Linked DNA regions of Caenorhabditis elegans. Changing the gene in region 1 together with any one later gene gives a genetic interaction. Each region holds a gene or a part of one and is shown in the gene's direction. Other genes may lie near its edges.

What was found. A genetic interaction does not mean that the proteins touch.
Region 2: of unc-25 (region 1) and jnk-1, changing one suppresses a phenotype caused by changing the other (phenotypic suppression), as found in Caenorhabditis elegans (one study listed by BioGRID).

Annotation. Positions count from the first base shown.
Region 1 is NC_003281.10:12,940,117-12,949,624, forward strand, and holds the start of unc-25 (Glutamate decarboxylase 1), read left to right. Parts: upstream 1-2,534; 5' UTR 2,535-2,544; coding exon 2,545-2,602; intron 2,603-3,603; coding exon 3,604-3,665; intron 3,666-3,718; coding exon 3,719-3,853; intron 3,854-4,844; coding exon 4,845-4,972; intron 4,973-5,882; coding exon 5,883-6,111; intron 6,112-7,743; coding exon 7,744-8,394; coding exon of another isoform or gene 8,395-8,404; intron 8,405-9,169; coding exon 9,170-9,364; intron 9,365-9,508. Other genes in the region: epg-3 (Ectopic P granules protein 3), read left to right, coding at 284-418, 537-656.
Region 2 is NC_003282.8:6,955,946-6,964,432, forward strand, and holds jnk-1 (Stress-activated protein kinase jnk-1), read left to right. Parts: upstream 1-1,695; 5' UTR 1,696-1,731; coding exon 1,732-1,777; intron 1,778-3,037; exon of another isoform or gene 3,038-3,175; intron 3,176-3,422; exon of another isoform or gene 3,423-3,446; intron 3,447-4,263; coding exon 4,264-4,373; intron 4,374-4,781; coding exon 4,782-4,940; intron 4,941-4,987; coding exon 4,988-5,073; intron 5,074-5,196; coding exon 5,197-5,326; intron 5,327-5,375; coding exon 5,376-5,573; intron 5,574-5,851; coding exon 5,852-6,017; intron 6,018-6,177; coding exon 6,178-6,276; intron 6,277-6,324; coding exon 6,325-6,403; intron 6,404-6,460; coding exon 6,461-6,537; intron 6,538-6,580; coding exon 6,581-6,696; exon of another isoform or gene 6,697-7,521; coding exon 7,522-7,647; 3' UTR 7,648-7,774; downstream 7,775-8,487. Other genes in the region: B0478.3 (uncharacterized protein), read right to left, coding at 7,930-8,028, 8,093-8,214, 8,383-8,487. UniProt on the Caenorhabditis elegans protein: Serine/threonine-protein kinase which responds to activation by environmental stress by phosphorylating a number of transcription factors such as daf-16, and thus regulates transcriptional activity.

The DNA of each region.
Region 1 (9,508 bases):
CAAAAAAAATTAAATTGTTTAAAAATCAAATTTTTCAACAACAAAAATTTTAATTTATTTAAAAAAACTATATTTTAACAAAAAAAAATCAAAATTTCACAAAAAGCTTTAAAAATTTTTTAACAGAAACATTTCAACGAAAAAATTAAATTAAACAATTTATTTAAAAAAAAAAAGAATTTTAAAAATAATTTTAAACAAAAAAAAATTATATTTTCAAAAAATTATTAACAAAAAAAACTTTAAGATCACATTTTTTATAAAATAAATTCAAATTTCTCAGAGCACATCCTACCTGGCTTGGGGTCTCTCACTTATGGTAACCTTCATGATTCTCTTCTTCTTCCTCTCAATTGTCAATTCACTGGCAAAAGACTATCACAAGCGGTTATGGGAACGAAAACGGCGACAAAACAAGGTCGAGTAATTAGGTACAACTGCCCTGACACACTGCCCATTTGTCATTAATTTTCTAATTTTTTTCCTTTTAAAAAAATATGGAAAAATTGTTTTATTTCAACTTTTCAATTGTTCAGGATTTGATAGATGAGGAAAATCAAAGTTTTGAAGAGGAAGAAGAAGAAGCCGTAACTCCGCCATCATCATGCCCGCTGCTGTTATCAGATGGATTTGAAGGAGTTGTTGTTAAGAAATGAGAAATAAGAAATAATTGTATAATTTTTTTTTCCAAAAATTTAAATTTCTAAACTAAAATTCGAATTTTTGCATGCAAAAAACACCCACTTTTTGATCTCAAATTTGCACTTATTAAGCACTAAAAACCAATAATTTCTTCCCTTTAAAATCTAAAAAAAATCTTCCAATAACCCCCCCACTGATAACAACAACAAGGCATTTTTCACTCGACGACCGGTGGCGGAGCGCACGTCTTCTTATTCTTCTTCTTCTTCTTCTTTTCCTACCTTTTCTATCCCACTTTTTCCCCGGAATTTTGAGATTTGACATGATTTTTCAGAGAATTTCGAGTTTTGAGAAAAAAAAAATCAAAAAAGCGATTTTTTGGTCAAAAGCCGAAATTTAAAGCTAGTTTTTTTGGAAATATCGATTTTTTTTTTGAGAATTTTTCGATTTTCCAAAAAAAAAATCGAAAGTTGTTTCCCGAAAAGCCGAAATTTTTTTTGAGATATCGAAAAATCGGAGAATTTTTCGATGTTTCCCAGAAATACTAAAATTTTGAATTTTCCGGAAAAAAAATCGTTAAAAAATTAGTTTCTTTTAAAGACCGAAATTTAAAGTTTTTTTTTTGGAAATATCGATTTTTTCCGAGATATCTAAAATTGAAAGAAATTTTCGATTTTCTGAGAAAAATACGAAAAAATCGAAAAAAAAACCCAAATTTCGGTTTTTTCGTAAAAAAAGTCGTAAAAATGTAATTTTTTTCCTGAAAAATCGGAATTTTTTACAAAATATCGGAAAATACTCAAAAAAAAGCTGAAAATTTCGATTTTCCGGAGAAAAAATCTTTTTAAAAAAATATTTTTTTTTTCAGAAAATAAGAAAAGCCGAAATTTATAACTATTTCTCCGGAAATTCGAAATTTTTAACGAAATATCGGAATAATTTTTAGATTTTTCAAGTTTGACTTTGCGAGAAAAAAATCGGAAAAACCTCGATTCGACGCCGAAAAATGCTCCTTTTCGAAAAGATTTTTGAAATTTCAGAAAATCGACATGCAAGCGCGCTCCACGGCGAAATGACAACGATGATCCACCGCCCTCAAAAAGTTGGGTCTCGTTAGGTATTTGGCGGTAAAACTGGTAAAACTCCAGTTTTGCCTCCAACGAGACCCAATTTTTTGGGGCGGTGGTGGAGCGCGCTTGCACAAGCTGAAAGCATTTTTCTGCGACTCGATAATATTTTGAAAACCTGTGTCAATTCTCGAAATTCTTTTTTTAAAAAATAATCCCGAGCTTCTCTCAGTCCTCCTCTATGAGGATGTTCCTTTTTTTTGGTTTTTCAATTTTTTTTAAAATTCCAAATTTCTGTTGTGCAATTCACTTCCCCCCAAGAAATCCCAAAAATCCCCAGTTTTCCCCAAAAATGTTCCGTTTTCATGTGATTTTTCCCCCATTTTTAAAACATTTTTTTGACTTTTTTTTAAAATGATTATTATTATTGTTTTCTATTTCATGGCCGGTAAATTATTTTTTTTCTTTCTTTTTTTTTGCTCTTTTTTTTCAAGAATTTTCGAATTGTTTGAAGGGCTGCTCATCTAATCTTTTGTCATTTTGTTCTGATGCCATCATTTCTGAGAGGACCTTTGAAGACTCGTCACGAAACGGGAGGGGGGCTCAAGTGAGCATTATTATTATTATTATTGTCGCAAAAAGTTTACCCCGGGCTCCCCCTGGCTCCCCTCTTTGAGCAAGGGTTTAAGGGCTCATTTTGATGACGAATTGCTCATTGGGATTATAGTCACGCCCCTCTTTTGGAGCAACTACACAACTGAGCCACAGTAATCCTTGGGGGCGGGGTCAGTAGGACCCCCTCCGGAATAGGGAAAAGCTCAGTTCACCGCCAAAAATGTCCTCTGCTGCTGCTGACGAAAGTGATGCTGTGCTCGAGAATCTTATTGCGAAAGGTGGGTTACTGTAGGTTGAATGGGTCTCGCCACGACAATTTTTTTCGATGAAAGGTGTGCGCCTTTAAGGAGTACTGTAGTTTGGAATTTTTATCGATTTTTTAAAAATAGTTTTTCGATTGCATTGATTCTTGACAAAAACTATGAAAAATCGATAAATATTCCGAACTACAGTACTCTTTTTAAGGCACATACATTTGTTTGCATTCCACAAAAAATGTCGTGTCGAGACCGCAAAATTTCGCGATTGAGTAATAAAATAAAAGTGCCAAATTTCACAGATTCGATGTAGAAAATGAAGGTCTTTTGAAATTTCTCAATACTAATTTACACATATTTTTATTAGGATTTTTTTTAATATAAAAAATCTTCTCTTGTCGATTTACGCAGTTCGTGTACTCCTCGTGGAGAAGTTTGTGTGCAGTTTTGCCCATTTTCGCTAATTTTTGATTAGTTTTTAAAAAAATTAAAGTCAGATTCAGGCAAAAATATATGAATTTGCTGTTCAAATCCCCGTTCGGCAAATTCATTTTCCGGCAAATTCGGTAATTTGCCGATTTGCCGGAAATTTCCATCTTCGGCAATTTGCCGATTTGCCAACTAGCCGGAAAGTTTCAATTCCGGCAATTTGCCGGTTTGCCAAATTTTTCAATTCCGGCAATTTGCCGATTTGCTGGAATTTTTCAATTCTGGCAAGTTGCCGTTTTGCCAATTTGCCTGAAATTTCCATTTTCGGCAATTTGCCGGTTTGCCGGAAATTGTCAATTTTGCCAATTTGCTGATTCGCCGGAAGTGTTTATTTTCGGCAATCTACCGGTTTGCCGATTTGCCGATTTGCCGGAAATTGCAGTTCCGGTAATTTGCCGCTTTGTCGGAAATTTTCAATTCTGGCAATTTGCCGATTTGCTGGAAACTTTTAATTTTCACTTTTAATAGATTCCCGGCCAAATAGCATAAATTCTTAAAAATATAATAATCCCTAAAAACTGAAAACTTTCCAGAAATCCTTCCCCAAACCGGCAACTGGGAAGGAACCGAGGAATTTCTTAATCGAATTGTTCAGGTAAATTTCGAATCATTTTTTTAAAAATTTTTCAAGTTTCCCTGCGTTTCCAGGTTCTTCTGAAGTACATCAAAGATCAGAATGATCGTGATCAGAAGATTCTGGAATTCCATCATCCAGATAAAATGCAAATGTTGATGGATTTGTCTATTCCAGAGAAACCGGAGAGCTTGTTGAAGCTTGTGAAGGTAACGAAAAATAATTTTGTTCTTTCCTATTAAGCTCAGGATTAGGGGCTTAGGCATAAGCTTAGGCTTGGGCTTGTGCTTGTGCTTAGGCTTTGGCTTAGGTTTAGGCCTAGGTATAGACTCGAGCGGCTCAGGAAATATTAATTAGTTTGAACTAGGAGTTTGAAATATTCGGATTTAGTTTAAGAGCGGAAAAAAAATTGATTTTCCGAAATGCGATCAATCAATGATTCGCTCCGCCCAATATTCTACCAATCAGTTGAAGTGGGAAGAGCTGGAAGACGCTGATTGGTTTGAAAGTGGGTGGGGTAAATTGCTGATTGGTCAGCTTTTATTTTGGCGAGAGTACTAGCGAAGGGTTGCCAGAAGGAAAAAAAACTTAATTTTTAAAGAATTTGGCCTATTTTGTAGTTTTTAGCAAATTCGACTATAAAATTTTGGGAAAATCTTAGATAAGCCTAAGCCTGAGCCTAAGCATAAGCCTAAGCCTAAGCCTAAGCATAAGCCTAAGCCTGAGCCTAAGCCTAAGACTAAACCTAAGCCTAAACCTAAGACTAAGCCTGAGCCTCAGCCTAGGCTTAATCATATGACGCAGCCTAATCCTAAGCCTAAGTCCAAGCTTAATCCATGCTCAATCTTGAGCTTAATACGAACAATTTTGAAAAATCAAAAATTCTTCAGCTCTAACGAATCTGTCAATTGCTAGTCGTTCAGAAAATTCAAATATTCTCAAAAAAATTTCATTTTCAAAGTAATAATAATTCCATCGTTTTTTCATATCCTTGTCCCACCAAAAAACATTTTTTTTTCATTTCCAAATCCTATTTCCGCACTCATTTTTCTCATTTCGCCCTCGGGGCACAATATAAACCATTAACATGCTCTTTTCCTCTTTTCTACCAGACATCTCGAAAACACTTGAAAATGGGGGGCTCCAGTGCTCTTTTCATTTGCACACACATACAATTTCCCCAAAAAAAGGACATTACAGAGCTGTGAAGATGTGCTTCGATTGGGTGTACGTACTGGACATCCACGCTTTTTCAACCAAATCTCGTGTGGACTCGACTTGGTTTCGATGGCTGGGGAATGGCTTACCGCAACTGCAAATACTAATATGTGGGTATTTGAGGGGAAGGATTAAGCTTAGGCTTAGGTTTAGGCCTAGACTTAGGCTTGGGCTCAGGCTTAGGCTTATGCTAAGCCTTAGGACTAAGCTTAGGCTTAGGTTTAGGCCTAGGCTTAGGCTTGGGCTCAGGCGCAGGCTCAGGCTTATGCGAAGCCTCAGGACTAGGCTTAGGCTTAGGCTTAAGCTTAGGCTCAGGCTTAGGCTTAGGCGTAGACTTAGGCTTAGGCTTAGATCGTGAAGGGACTTTCAAAATTGGCTTCAGAGTTTTTTCAAATTTAAAAACTCCGAGAAAATTACCAAAAACTCAGGAATTGCTCCTGAGGCACACAGATGAGCATTTTTACGTGTAAATTGCTCAATTTTGTTGCGATGAAGTTTTGAGAAAAGTCCCGCAAAACTTTCTAATCCAGCAATGAATATGGAAGGTTTTCTGAAATGCAAGCTTATGTAATTTTTTACATCTTTATACATAGATTATTAATAGAGAGGTTTTTTTAAACTAAAATTTGCTAGTAGGCTAAAACCTATTCAGAGTGGTACAATGCATTTAAAAAAAAAGAAAAATTGTTTAATTGTGTATTGTAATGTGATTGTATAGTGAAGAACTGACCTCATTAGGCTTTCACATAACAGTCAAATTATACTCAAAGTGATGCTCGTACTTGGCTGAGCTCTAACAAGCCGAAATTATAGGCTCAGTTTAAGAAATTTAACAGTACTTGCCGATCTTCAAAGTATACGTCAAGAAAGCGACAAAAAATTTAACAAAGGCAGTAGGCAGGCAGGCGCTCTTTCCTATGATAATAGTTAATAATATAGTTTTCAAATGTATAATATTTTAATAAAGCCTTTAGAAAATTTGAACATTTTTAAAAAAGTCTGGAAGCTAGAATCTTTCAGGTTCACCTATGAAATCGCGCCTGTCTTCATCCTTATGGAAAAGTCGGTAATGGCCAGAATGTGGGAAGCAGTTGGATGGGATCCGGAAAAAGCTGATGGAATCTTTGCACCAGGTGGAGCAATCGCCAATTTGTATGCAATGAATGCGGCACGTCATCAACTTTGGCCACGTAGCAAGCATCTCGGAATGAAGGATATTCCGACATTGTGCTGCTTTACTAGCGAGGATGTAAGATTTTTTTAAAATTTAAAGAATTAATTTTTGGCTGTTACTTATGAAACATTTATTCAACATTGAAATATTCCTCAATTTTTTGAATTTTTTTTGCGGGTTTTCTCAAGTTTATACGCAAAAATTGATAGTCCTTGTAAAGTTATTCGGCAAAATTTGGCAAAACTTGTTTTCCAATATTGGCCGAGCTCGGCAAATTTGGCAAATTTGCCGTGCTCCGAAAATAGAAAAAGTTTCGGATATTCCCAGGCTATTACTGAATCCTTAGCACAAGCGGCAATTTTCGTTCGGCAATTTTTTTTTGTCGAAAAATTCTGCAAAATTTGACAATTTGCCGGAAACTTCCAATTCCGGCAATTTACCGGATTGCCAATTTGCCGGAAAATTTCAATTCCGGCTAATTGCCGGTTTTGACGATTTGTCGGAAATTTAAATTCTGCCAATTTGCCGATTTGCAGGAAATGTTCTATTTCGGCAAACAGCCGGTTTGCCGAAAATTTCAATTACGGCAAATTTTTTTGTCGACAAATTCGGCAAAATGCCGGTTTGCCGATTTGCCGGAAACTTCCAATTCCGGCAATTTATCTGTTTGCCGATTTGCCGAAAATTTTCAATTTGCCGATTTGCCTGAAATTTCCATTTTCGGCAATTTTTCAACTTGCCGGAAATGTTCGATTCCGTCAATTTACCGATTTGCCCATTTGCCGAATTTTAGAAAAAATGTTTCTCCACGAGGAGTACACGAGCCGCGTAAATCTACAGACGTTTTCTGATTTTTTTTCCGGCAAAAGCCGGTTTTCCAATTTGCCGGAAACTTCCAACTCTGGCAATTTACCGGATTGCCAATTTGCCGGAAACCTTCCATTCCGGCAAATTGCCGGTTTGCAAGTTTGCTGGAAATTTTTATTTTTGGCAAATCGACGAATCGCCGGTTTGCCGATTTGCCGGAAACTGTCAATTCTGGCACATTGCCGGTTTGCAAGTTTGCTGGAAATTTTTATTTTTGGCAAATCGACGAATTGCCGGTTTGCCGGAAACTGTCGATTCCAGCAAATTGTCGGTTTGCTAGTTTGCTGGAAATTTTTATTTTTGGCAAATCGACGAATTGCCGGTTCGCCGATTTCCCGGAAACTGTCAATTCTGGCACATTGCCGGTTTGCAAGTTTGCTGGAAACTGTTACTTTTGGCAAATCGACGAATTGCCGGTTTGCCGGTTTGCCGGAAACTGTCGATTCCGGCAAATTGTCGGTTTGCTAGTTTGACGGAAATTTTTATTTTTATTAAATTGACGAATTGCCGGATTACCAATTTGCCTGAAACTTTCAATTTCGGCAAACTGTCGGATTGCCAATTTGCCGGAAACTTTTATTTTTAGCAAATTGTGGGTTACAAATTTGCCGAAAATTAAAAAAAAATTTAAGTGCAAACCCTGCCGATTTGCCGATTCGTCGGAAAAATTGTTTGCCGCCCACCATTTTTGAATAATTTTGTTCGGTCAAATTTTTAAAATCCAATTTTGTGGGCCGTGCGGCAAATTTCCAAGTTTGTCGAGCTCGGCAAACGGGAAATTCGGCAATTTTTGAAATTTTTTCTCTGCCACTTTTTTCCTCTAAAACCTTAAATTTGCAGAGTCACTACTCCATCAAATCTGCCTCCGCTGTTCTTGGCATTGGCGCAGACTATTGCTTCAACATTCCAACCGATAAAAATGGAAAAATGATTCCAGAAGCTCTAGAAGCTAAGATTATCGAATGTAAAAAAGAGGGTCTGACCCCGTTCTTTGCCTGCTGCACAGCCGGCTCAACTGTCTACGGAGCATTTGATCCATTGGAGCGAGTCGCAAACATCTGTGAACGTCATAAGCTCTGGTTCCACGTGGATGCCGCTTGGGGTGGTGGAATGCTCCTGTCTCCCGAGCATCGGTACAAGCTGGCAGGAATTGAGAGAGCTAATTCAGTGACATGGAATCCACATAAGCTCATGGGAGCACTTCTCCAGTGCTCGGCATGCTTGTTCCGTCAGGATGGACTACTGTTCCAGTGTAATCAAATGTCGGCTGATTATCTATTCCAACAAGATAAACCGTACGATGTGAGCTTTGATACTGGAGATAAAGCCATTCAATGTGGACGGCACAATGATGTTTTCAAGCTTTGGTTGATGTGGAAGAGCAAGGGAATGGAGGGATATCGTCAGCAAATTAATAAGTTGATGGATTTGGCCAACTATTTTACCAGGAGAATTAAGGAAACTGAAGGATTTGAGTTGATTATTGAGAATGTGAGTTTCGGTGAGCAATTGCCGGTTTGCCAATTTGCCGGAAATATTCAATTCCGGCAATTTGCCGAGTAGCCTTTTGCCGGATATCAATTTGCCGGAAGTGTTTAGAGGACTTAAACCTGTGTCTTTTTGAAATTTTTTCCGTTTCTTTAGATATTCATAGGATGCGTACAATTTTGCCGATTGAAGTTGAAATTCTGAAATTTCCAAAAAAAAAAATGTGCAAAGCCACTATTTGCCGAAAATTTGGGCAATTGCCATTGTTCCGGCAAATTCGGAAAATGGGCAATTAGTCGGTTTGCCGATTTGCCGGAAATTTTCAATTCCGACAATTTGCCGGTTTGCCGATTTTCTGGCAAAAATCGTTTGCCGCCCACCCTTGGATCATAATATTTTGGTCAATTTTTCGTTTTTTTTTGTTAATTTTTCTAAACACTTTTTTCGATTTTGTGATTATCTCTGAAAAATCGAAAAAATATTAAAAAAAAAAAGGAAATTGAAACATCTAAACATTTTTTAAACTGCTTGAAAAATATCTAAAACACTTTAAATCGAAAAAAATCAAATTACATACCTTCGAGGCGAGTTATGCCTGTCTTGTAGGCAGGTAGGCACTGCTAGGCACCTACTAGGCAGGAATTTTGAAGCCTGCAGTATGATTACTTCTTTAATTTTTATGAAATTTATAAAATGTTTCACTGGGTTTAAAAAAAAATTAATTTCAAAGTTAATTTAATTAAAACAAAAAAAAACTTCAAATTTTTCAAATTTTCAGCCCGAATTCCTGAACATTTGTTTCTGGTACGTGCCTTCAAAGATTCGAAACTTGGAGCCTGCTGAAATGCGTGCTCGTTTGGAGAAAATTGCCCCAAAAATTAAAGCCGGCATGATGCAAAGAGGTACCACAATGGTTGGATATCAACCGGATAAGCAGCGACCAAATTTCTTCCGAATGATTATTTCGAATCAGGTATGGAACAGGCGTTTAATGTAATTTTTTGAAACAAATAATTTGGTAATTTGGCAAAAAATGAAATTTTTTATATTTTCTATTTTTTGACTGTAAAGAAAATATTTCAATTTCGAAAATCTTGTGGAGGCAACTTTTCAATAA
Region 2 (8,487 bases), on another chromosome or scaffold:
AAATAGCTATATGAATTTATCTATAAACAAAAATTGGCATTTGTTAAGTTTTCCTATCATAATTTCGGCAACCGAAAAAAAAGTTTTAAAAAAATTAAAACATTCATTACGTTTGTATTTTAACATTTGTGAAGCCTTATTTGAAAAATTGGTCAATCTTCCAAAACTTTGAAATTTTTTTTTTAATCTGATAATTTTAAGCCAAGCGAATAAGTTGAAAACTTTTCATCAAACCTCAAATTTATTTTTGAAAAAGTGCATTTAAAAACCTCTCTTCTTTATTTTAAACCAGTTATACATATGCATAATGTGATTCAAATTGTCGTTCTATACTACCTAAATAAACAAGTATGAATAATTGAATTTGTAAAGAAAAGCACGGTTGCCTAAGAGACGGATCTCATACAAAAAAAATCGAGATACCTATTTTTGCGTGATCATTTTTTTTCATTTTGGTTCATTCAAGTTAGTGAAAATACATTATCATTCAAAATTATTCACCGTTTTGATTTTGCTTCGAAATACCCAAAATTCAGAAATATCACAATATAAAAACAGAAAAAGATGTCTTTTGGTAAGGTTCAAATTAGAGTTCAACTTCTTGTAGAAAGAAAACAAAGAATCGTGTGAAAAAATAAAAATAAATTGAAAATCCGCTGTTTTCATAGCTTTTCCAAAAAAAAGCTTCAGTAAACTTTCAATTTTTTGTTTTGAAAAAAATCGAATGATTTTTCCATTTTTTTGAAGCGCTCCTTAGTTTCAAACATGTCCCGGTTGCCTTCAACCTTGTCCCTCCAATTCTTTCTTTCCCTTCTCCATCATCACATTTTCTAAATTAAATTCCAATTCTTTGCTTGAATCCTTGTCCTCCATCCACAGAAAGGACGAACTTTCAAAGCCTGCGTCTCATTATTCTCAAGTTCTTCTTCTTCTTCTCATCACCAAATCTGCCGCCCATGTGACTGACATGAGAGCCCCAATTGGCTACTCTACTGCATCGGGAATCCTTTTGAGAACTTTGACGACAACTCCCGCTCTTTACACTTTTGAGAATATATTAGGGAGCAAATACTAGAAAAGGTTTAGAAGTCTTAGAAGACTTCGGAAAAGTGGCAAGTGGCTTTAAAATGTTTCACGTAGTCTTTAAAATGTTTCACATATTTATTTAGTTAGTGATTTCCATTTAGTCTTTTGAAAAAAATGGAGAGTTCAGTACATACAGAAGGAAAAGTGATTTTAATAATAACTAAACATAATACAAAGTACAGAAAAAAACCTTTAAACTTAAACCGCCCTGAAATTTTTTAAAAAAAATTACTGCAGAAGTAAGTTTTTAGTGGTGTTTTTAAAATTAATATTGAAATATGTACTTTTTTTCATTTTCTGGAAAACAACAAGTGACCATTTTACGGGAAAATGGAATTCGAGATTTCAACACGAATTCTCAAATTTCAATTTTTCTGCCCTCAATTGCAATGTATTCTAACTGGAAAATAGTTTCCATTTCCTCAACATTTTCATTTTTTCTATTCTTTATTTTGGTGTCCGCAATTTTTTTTCCCTGTTCAGTTTTGTTTTTCTAGAAGCTGGTTAAAATTAATTAATGAGATTCTCGCTAATTTGAACCGTTCTTAAATTAGCCACTATCAGCTTTTTGCAATTTCCACCAATGAATACGTATAATAATATTTTCAGAACCATCAGCAAGTTAAAGTGTGTGATCCTGTGCACATGGAGGAACGATTATCCACAACATCATCGTATCCGTCACATCCAGGTTTGTTTTTAAATTTTTGCAAAATATTATTCTAGCTTCTTTTTTATCTACGAAAGTTAATTGTTTTTTTTGCAAAATTGAAATTTGGGAAAACTGTGTCTTTTTTTAATTAGGAATCAGTTTTTTTAAATTAAGATTTAATCAAATTTAACTCAACAGGGAAATTCTGAAATTTATGACTAAACCAAAAGAAAAGCCTGTAAAACCCGTTAACATCAATAATTGTGGGACTAATAAAATTGAGTAAAGTGGCTGGAAATGTGGGAATTCAAATTAAAAATTACTAGCTCTTTTTTCACATTTTTAAAGGATTTTTTCAGTGTTTTTTACATGCCACTGTAAGTAATATGAACTACATTTTACATGTATTACCTTCTCTTTAATTTAAATATGAACCAATAAAAATTTCAATATAACATTTCAAAATTGTATTAAAAAGTTGAGGTAGCACTAAATTAGCAGCTAGTTCTAGAAAAGCAACAAGAAAGTATAGTTTCTTGACCAAGTTAATAATATACACTTTCTAAATTAGCGGGTCACAAAATTTCCATTTAAAAAATCGCAAAAGTTATTAATATGGGATATCCATTTAAATGCACAATATAATTAATTCAATTTATTTTTAATTGTGGAATTACAGATATGCAACAAATTTTTAAATATCTGAAAAAAATTTTAAAAAATTTTGAATTTAAAAAATTTTTGAATTTTGTACTGATGGTCTTTTGGCTCATTCTGAGTATATTTAGATAGAACAATTGTTTTAGTGAGCAAATAAACAAATTGAGCATTTTCGCTCGTTTAATCGAAATACACTTTTTTGAACTTGCAGCAGAGCGACTCGTACCAAAGTGTTAAAAATTGTATTTCATTCTCAAACGCGACAGTTACTTCTCGAAATCTAGATATTTTTATTTAAAATAAAATTTTGAACTCGTCACAACAAAAGTCTCAAACCCTCGACAATGACGTCACAAAGTCGTGTCTTTTCAGTTCTGTTCCATATGCTTTACGCCTCTTAACTTCTTCTTCCTCTTCTTTTTGTCTTTTCCGTTTCTATTATAATTTATGGTCCCATGGGTACCATATTCTACGTTGGTAGCTTCTCTTCCACAAACATGCTCAACATCTTCCTCTTTCTCTCTCTTTCTATGTTTTTGCTTCTTTTTCTTTCCTCACTTTCATTCACAAATCGAAAAGACGTCCTTCTTGTGCCCCCTTCTACCCCATTCTCAAAGTCTTCTAAACACAAAAATCGATATAGGAAAGGCGCGGCCCCGTTTTGCACAGAATGACGACGGAAAGACGACGGAGACGTAGAGAAGGACCGCCGCCACTGCTCCGGAGAGCTCCGGAGACACACAACCACCACTGAGACCCTCGCAACCAACCCCATCGACTAGTACATCCACCCCAACTTATAGTTTTTTTCTTGTTAAAGTTGTTATTATAAATCACTAGAAGTTGAAAATTATGACAATTTTTTGGTTTTGAAGTGAGGAGAGCTTCTGTGAATCAAGAAGTTAGAGGTTTTTTTTTTGAAAATTTAGCTAAACTGTTTTGATCATAACTTTGCTAGAAAGGACTAATTTAGAATATTTGTCCTTTTGAAACTAGTTGAAAATTTTAAGTTGTCACCAAAAAAAATACCCTTTAGTGCAATACAACAATATCGAGGTCATTATCAGTAGACTTTTGATAATTTTATGAAACAGTTAAATTTTGAAAATAGGTTTGATTCTTGAATATTCCCCTTATTTCTGTTCTAAAAAGTTTTCCGACAAATGAATGTAACACTCTAACGAGTAGTACCCTCTTCATCTTTAATTTCCGTGTTTCTTCCTTTTCTGACCTAAATAATCCTTTCCGCTTTTCCACCCCGACCATCTTATGTTCCCTTCAGAGCCCTCTTTTCCCTTAGCCCCAATATAACCTCATCAGTGAAATTGTGTTCTTTCTAACTCTGCGTCTTCCTTCCATCTTGTGTATTTTCTCTAAATTTTGTCTCTGCTCCAAATTGGACAGAAAAAGACATCCAAACGGACAGCAAAAAAAAAGAGTCGAAAAGTGCATTGTGTGTGCTGAATGTGAAAAAGACACCAAAAAATGGATAAATAGTCTCCATTTATTTATACATTTCTTTTGAAGCTAGCAAAGAGTCTGGGTTTTTTGAAAAAAAAAAGATTTCTGGATTGGTTTTTGGGTAAATACATAGATCCCGTTAATATGCGGCTGAGTTAATTAGATTTTTAGTAATGCATCTAATATCACATTTTTCTCTGTTTCAAATATTTTATTTTCCAAATATTTTTTTCAACAAATTGCTTTCTTTCAAATCATAATTTTGATAGTGAAAGTCTAAATTTAATACCAAAATAATTGTTTGTGTTCGAGTATTTTTGAGGAAATCGTTTTTGTATCCTTCGAGAAGTTTCTACATTTCACTGTTTTCACTGTAATGGCATTTAAATTTATCCGATTTTCAGGTAGAAGCGTGGAAGAGGATCACAACACTCTGCTCGCATCCTCCTCGATATCATCAATCATTCGAGGAACCCGTGGACACCTCAACAATTTTATCGAGTCCGTTGGGAATGTGAGTTTAAGTTTGAGTTGACTAAAACTCAAAAGCATGAAATTGAAATTTTGTCTTTTAAAAATGGGCACTACCACTGATGTTTTATAAGCCGTATTTTCTATTTTAGAGACACTTGAGTTTGCAAATTTATCAGCTCATAGTTCAAATTATCATTAGTTTCGTTAAATTTTTATGAAATTTTTTGAAAATATATGAACATTACTGGCAGAATTGACAAAATTCAAGAAAAGTCCTTGAAACAGAGAAATTTTGTTCACAAAACACGAACTGAGGCGAAGTTGCTTACGGTTTCAGAAAACTTCGCAACTGTTTTATCAAATGTTGATGGTCACTCAATAGTCAGAAATAACAGTTTTTAAAACAAAATCATCAATATCTAACTATATCTTTATTCCCTATTTTCAGTGGCTGGTTCCATCATCATCTGGTCGAGACGACGACGCTGTCTCTTTGGATAGTTGCCAATCAGTGTACAGTCCTGTTCGTCATCACATAAACAGTGGAACAGGAGGAGGAATTCTCATGGAACCATCCTCTATTCATGTTCCCGAAAACTATTATTCGGTGAGTACAATTTTAACAGTTTGGTTGAAGATCTCGATATGTTTCAGGTGACAATAGGGGAAGCGCAGATGGTTGTTCTCAAACGATATCAAAATCTCAGGTTGATCGGGTCTGGTGCTCAGGGAATTGTTTGGTGAGTAATTTTGTTGTTGGTATAATGGGAAAGCGATTTTGAAGAGACAAAAATTTTCTCGATTCTATATTGTTTGGTTAAAAAATCTCAACTATGCTGGAAATCAAATTTATTATTTTTCAGCTCAGCGTTTGATACGGTACGGAACGAACAAGTTGCCATAAAGAAATTATCAAGGCCATTTCAAAATGTGACACATGCAAAGAGGGCTTATCGAGAATTAAAACTCATGAGTCTTGTAAATCATAAAAATGTGAGTTTTTTCAAGATTTTACGTTGGACTTCAATTCCTCATTTTTCAGATCATAGGTATTCTGAATTGTTTTACACCACAAAAGAAACTCGACGAATTCAACGATCTTTATATTGTTATGGAACTTATGGATGCAAATCTTTGTCAAGTGATTCAAATGGATTTGGATCATGAGAGATTATCATATCTTCTTTATCAAATGTTATGTGGTATCAGGCATTTACATAGTGCTGGAATTATACACAGGGTGAGACTGACAGAAAAAAGAATATCTAGGCGACTTATAATCGCCTTGTGCCTACTTCCAAGGCACAAGTTGCGAAAAATCGGAACATGGCTTCTTTTTTGTGGAGCAAAAGTTTTTGTGCCCATTATTATTTTTACTAAAAAAATTCAGAGGAGCATTTTAGTAGGCAAGCTCTCAGGCAGATAGGCATATAAAAAATTTATGCTACCGATTATTCTGAACCGGGTTGTCCCTCTGAGATTTTTTTTTCCAAATATTTATTCTACAAATTGTTACAGGATTTGAAACCATCAAACATTGTCGTTCGAAGTGATTGTACTCTAAAAATCTTGGATTTCGGATTGGCTCGAACTGCGATTGAGGCATTCATGATGACTCCTTACGTTGTGACAAGATACTATCGGGCACCGGAAGTTATTTTAGGAATGGGTTACAAGGAAAATGGTAAGATTTTTGAGTTAAAGTGATGAACACCAATATTAAATCGGAGCACACATTTTTTCAGTTTTTTCTAGTTTTAAAAATAGAAGAATAATCGTTATTCATTTTCAAATTCTTTAAGCAATTTAACAAAGTTATATTTTTCAAACAAAATATTTTTCAGTTGATGTTTGGTCAATTGGGTGTATATTTGGAGAGCTGATACGTGGACGTGTACTATTCCCGGGTGGTGACCATATCGATCAGTGGACTAGGATTATTGGTAATTTTGAAAATGATTAAAACGAACTGCCAACATTTCCGAATTCAGAACAATTGGGTACTCCGGATAGGTCATTTTTAGAACGGTTACAACCAACTGTCAGAAATTATGTGGAAAATCGGCCAAGGTATGAATTAAAATATTTTACTAATACAATGAACTCGATTAAAATAAAATAATTCAGATATCAAGCAACGCCGTTTGAAGTTCTCTTCAGTGATAACATGTTCCCAATGACAGCTGACAGCTCAAGACTTACAGGTATGCTTTAACAGAATAATTTCAAAAATTAAACATTTTCTAGGTGCTCAAGCTCGTGACTTACTTTCTCGAATGTTAGTCATAGATCCGGAAAGAAGGATTTCTGTGGATGATGCACTGAGACATCCATATGTCAATGTTTGGTTTGATGAAATTGAAGTAAGATTTTTTCCTATTACACAACACAAAATATACAGTTAAATATGAATGACTTTTCAAAAACCGAAATCCTATTTTTTGCGTGGAAGAAAAACTCTAAAATCCGGACTCCGGATGGCCAGCCCTAATAAAATTTGAATAATGTTGCTGAATCAATTTCAAAATAAAACATATGTTAATTGAGATTTTGAAACAGTGATAATTTTTCACTTTCGTTTATTTTTATTTTGTTGAAAACAAATAAAGGTTATATTGCGGTAACCTTATTAAAAACAGCTTAAAATTTGTATCTTTTTCCGATATCTGTACAGAATTTATATTATTAAAAAGGTCGAGTGAGGAGTCTACTAAGGGTCACACGTCAATTTCAACCGGGTCGAACGTCCAATATTGAATTTGAGCATAATAATAATATCTACTAATTATTCAATGTTTTCGCTAAATTAGTGATGGGACAAACAATTGCAACGAAAAATACAATATACATCTTAGCTTTGAAACAGTAATTTTTTTTTTCTTGTTAAATATGTTTTTTTGTTATTTTCTGTTTGAAGCTTGAAAATAACACGAAGCATATTTGGTAAGAAAAAATTTACTGTTTCAAAGCTAAGATGTAAGCATATCGTATTTTCTTTACAATTGTTTACCCGACATCTTTTGAGAATAAATGAAATTATTAATAACGCAGTATTAAAAAAGAACAGCATATAATTCACATTCTCAAGAACCATAAATTGCGAATGAAGATACGCCAGCCACAGCCGTATGTAATATCGAATTCGAAAAGAATTATAATATTATTAACTCATATTCATATGTTTTCAGGTATATGCTCCACCTCCACTTCCGTATGATCATAATATGGATGTGGAACAGAACGTGGATTCATGGAGAGAGCACATTTTCCGAGAGCTCACAGATTACGCAAGAACCCATGACATTTATTCCTGATTCCATGTTTTACGGTCACATTTCGATCTCTATGTTTTTTCATTCGCGTAATTGTTTTCAAATGTCTCCTTTTCTGTGCTCATATTTCTATTTAAAAAAAAGATAATAAATTGTTTGAAAGTTGAAAAAAAAACAGATTTATGTACATTATGACTTTGGCAACTTCAACCGCCTACAATGCGGGCATTTAAATTGATTTTGAAAATTGAAATCACATTGTTTTCAAAAATAAAAGTGATCATCTTGACAATGGATACTAACAAATGTTGATTTTTTTAAAATTTAATTTATAGTGGGAGATACTGGTTCTAGTCCTCCCAAGGTGTTATACGCAGTCTCTCCAAAAAGTCGAACAGCTGCACAGAATCCGGCAGCATCCACCTGAAACATGGGATTACTTTTCAATATGAAAAAAAAACAAATTTTAATTAAAAAAAAAACTCACTGCGCAAAGATTCTTTTCTGTGGCCGTACTTAGACATAGACAAAATTCATTATCGCAAAAATCTTTACCAATTTGAGTGTTGTAGCAGTTGTCGTGGGTTTCACAGCAGACGTTCATTGGATCTGAAAATTTAATTTTCGAAGATGATAAAAATCTTGAAACTATCTTCAAAAATTTTCAGTAATGTTTTAATTTTTTTCAATAAAAAACTGTTTCATAAAAGTCAGAAACGTTTAGTAGTTAGTTGAGATAAGTTCAATAAACAAAAACATAATTATTAAAAATCATACCTCTCAAATTTTTACACTCGGTGCTGTTAAACAATTGTGGAATAAATTCCGTGAACCGATTGGCACCGCAACTAAAATTGCTAGCCGGAATTGTATTATTCATGG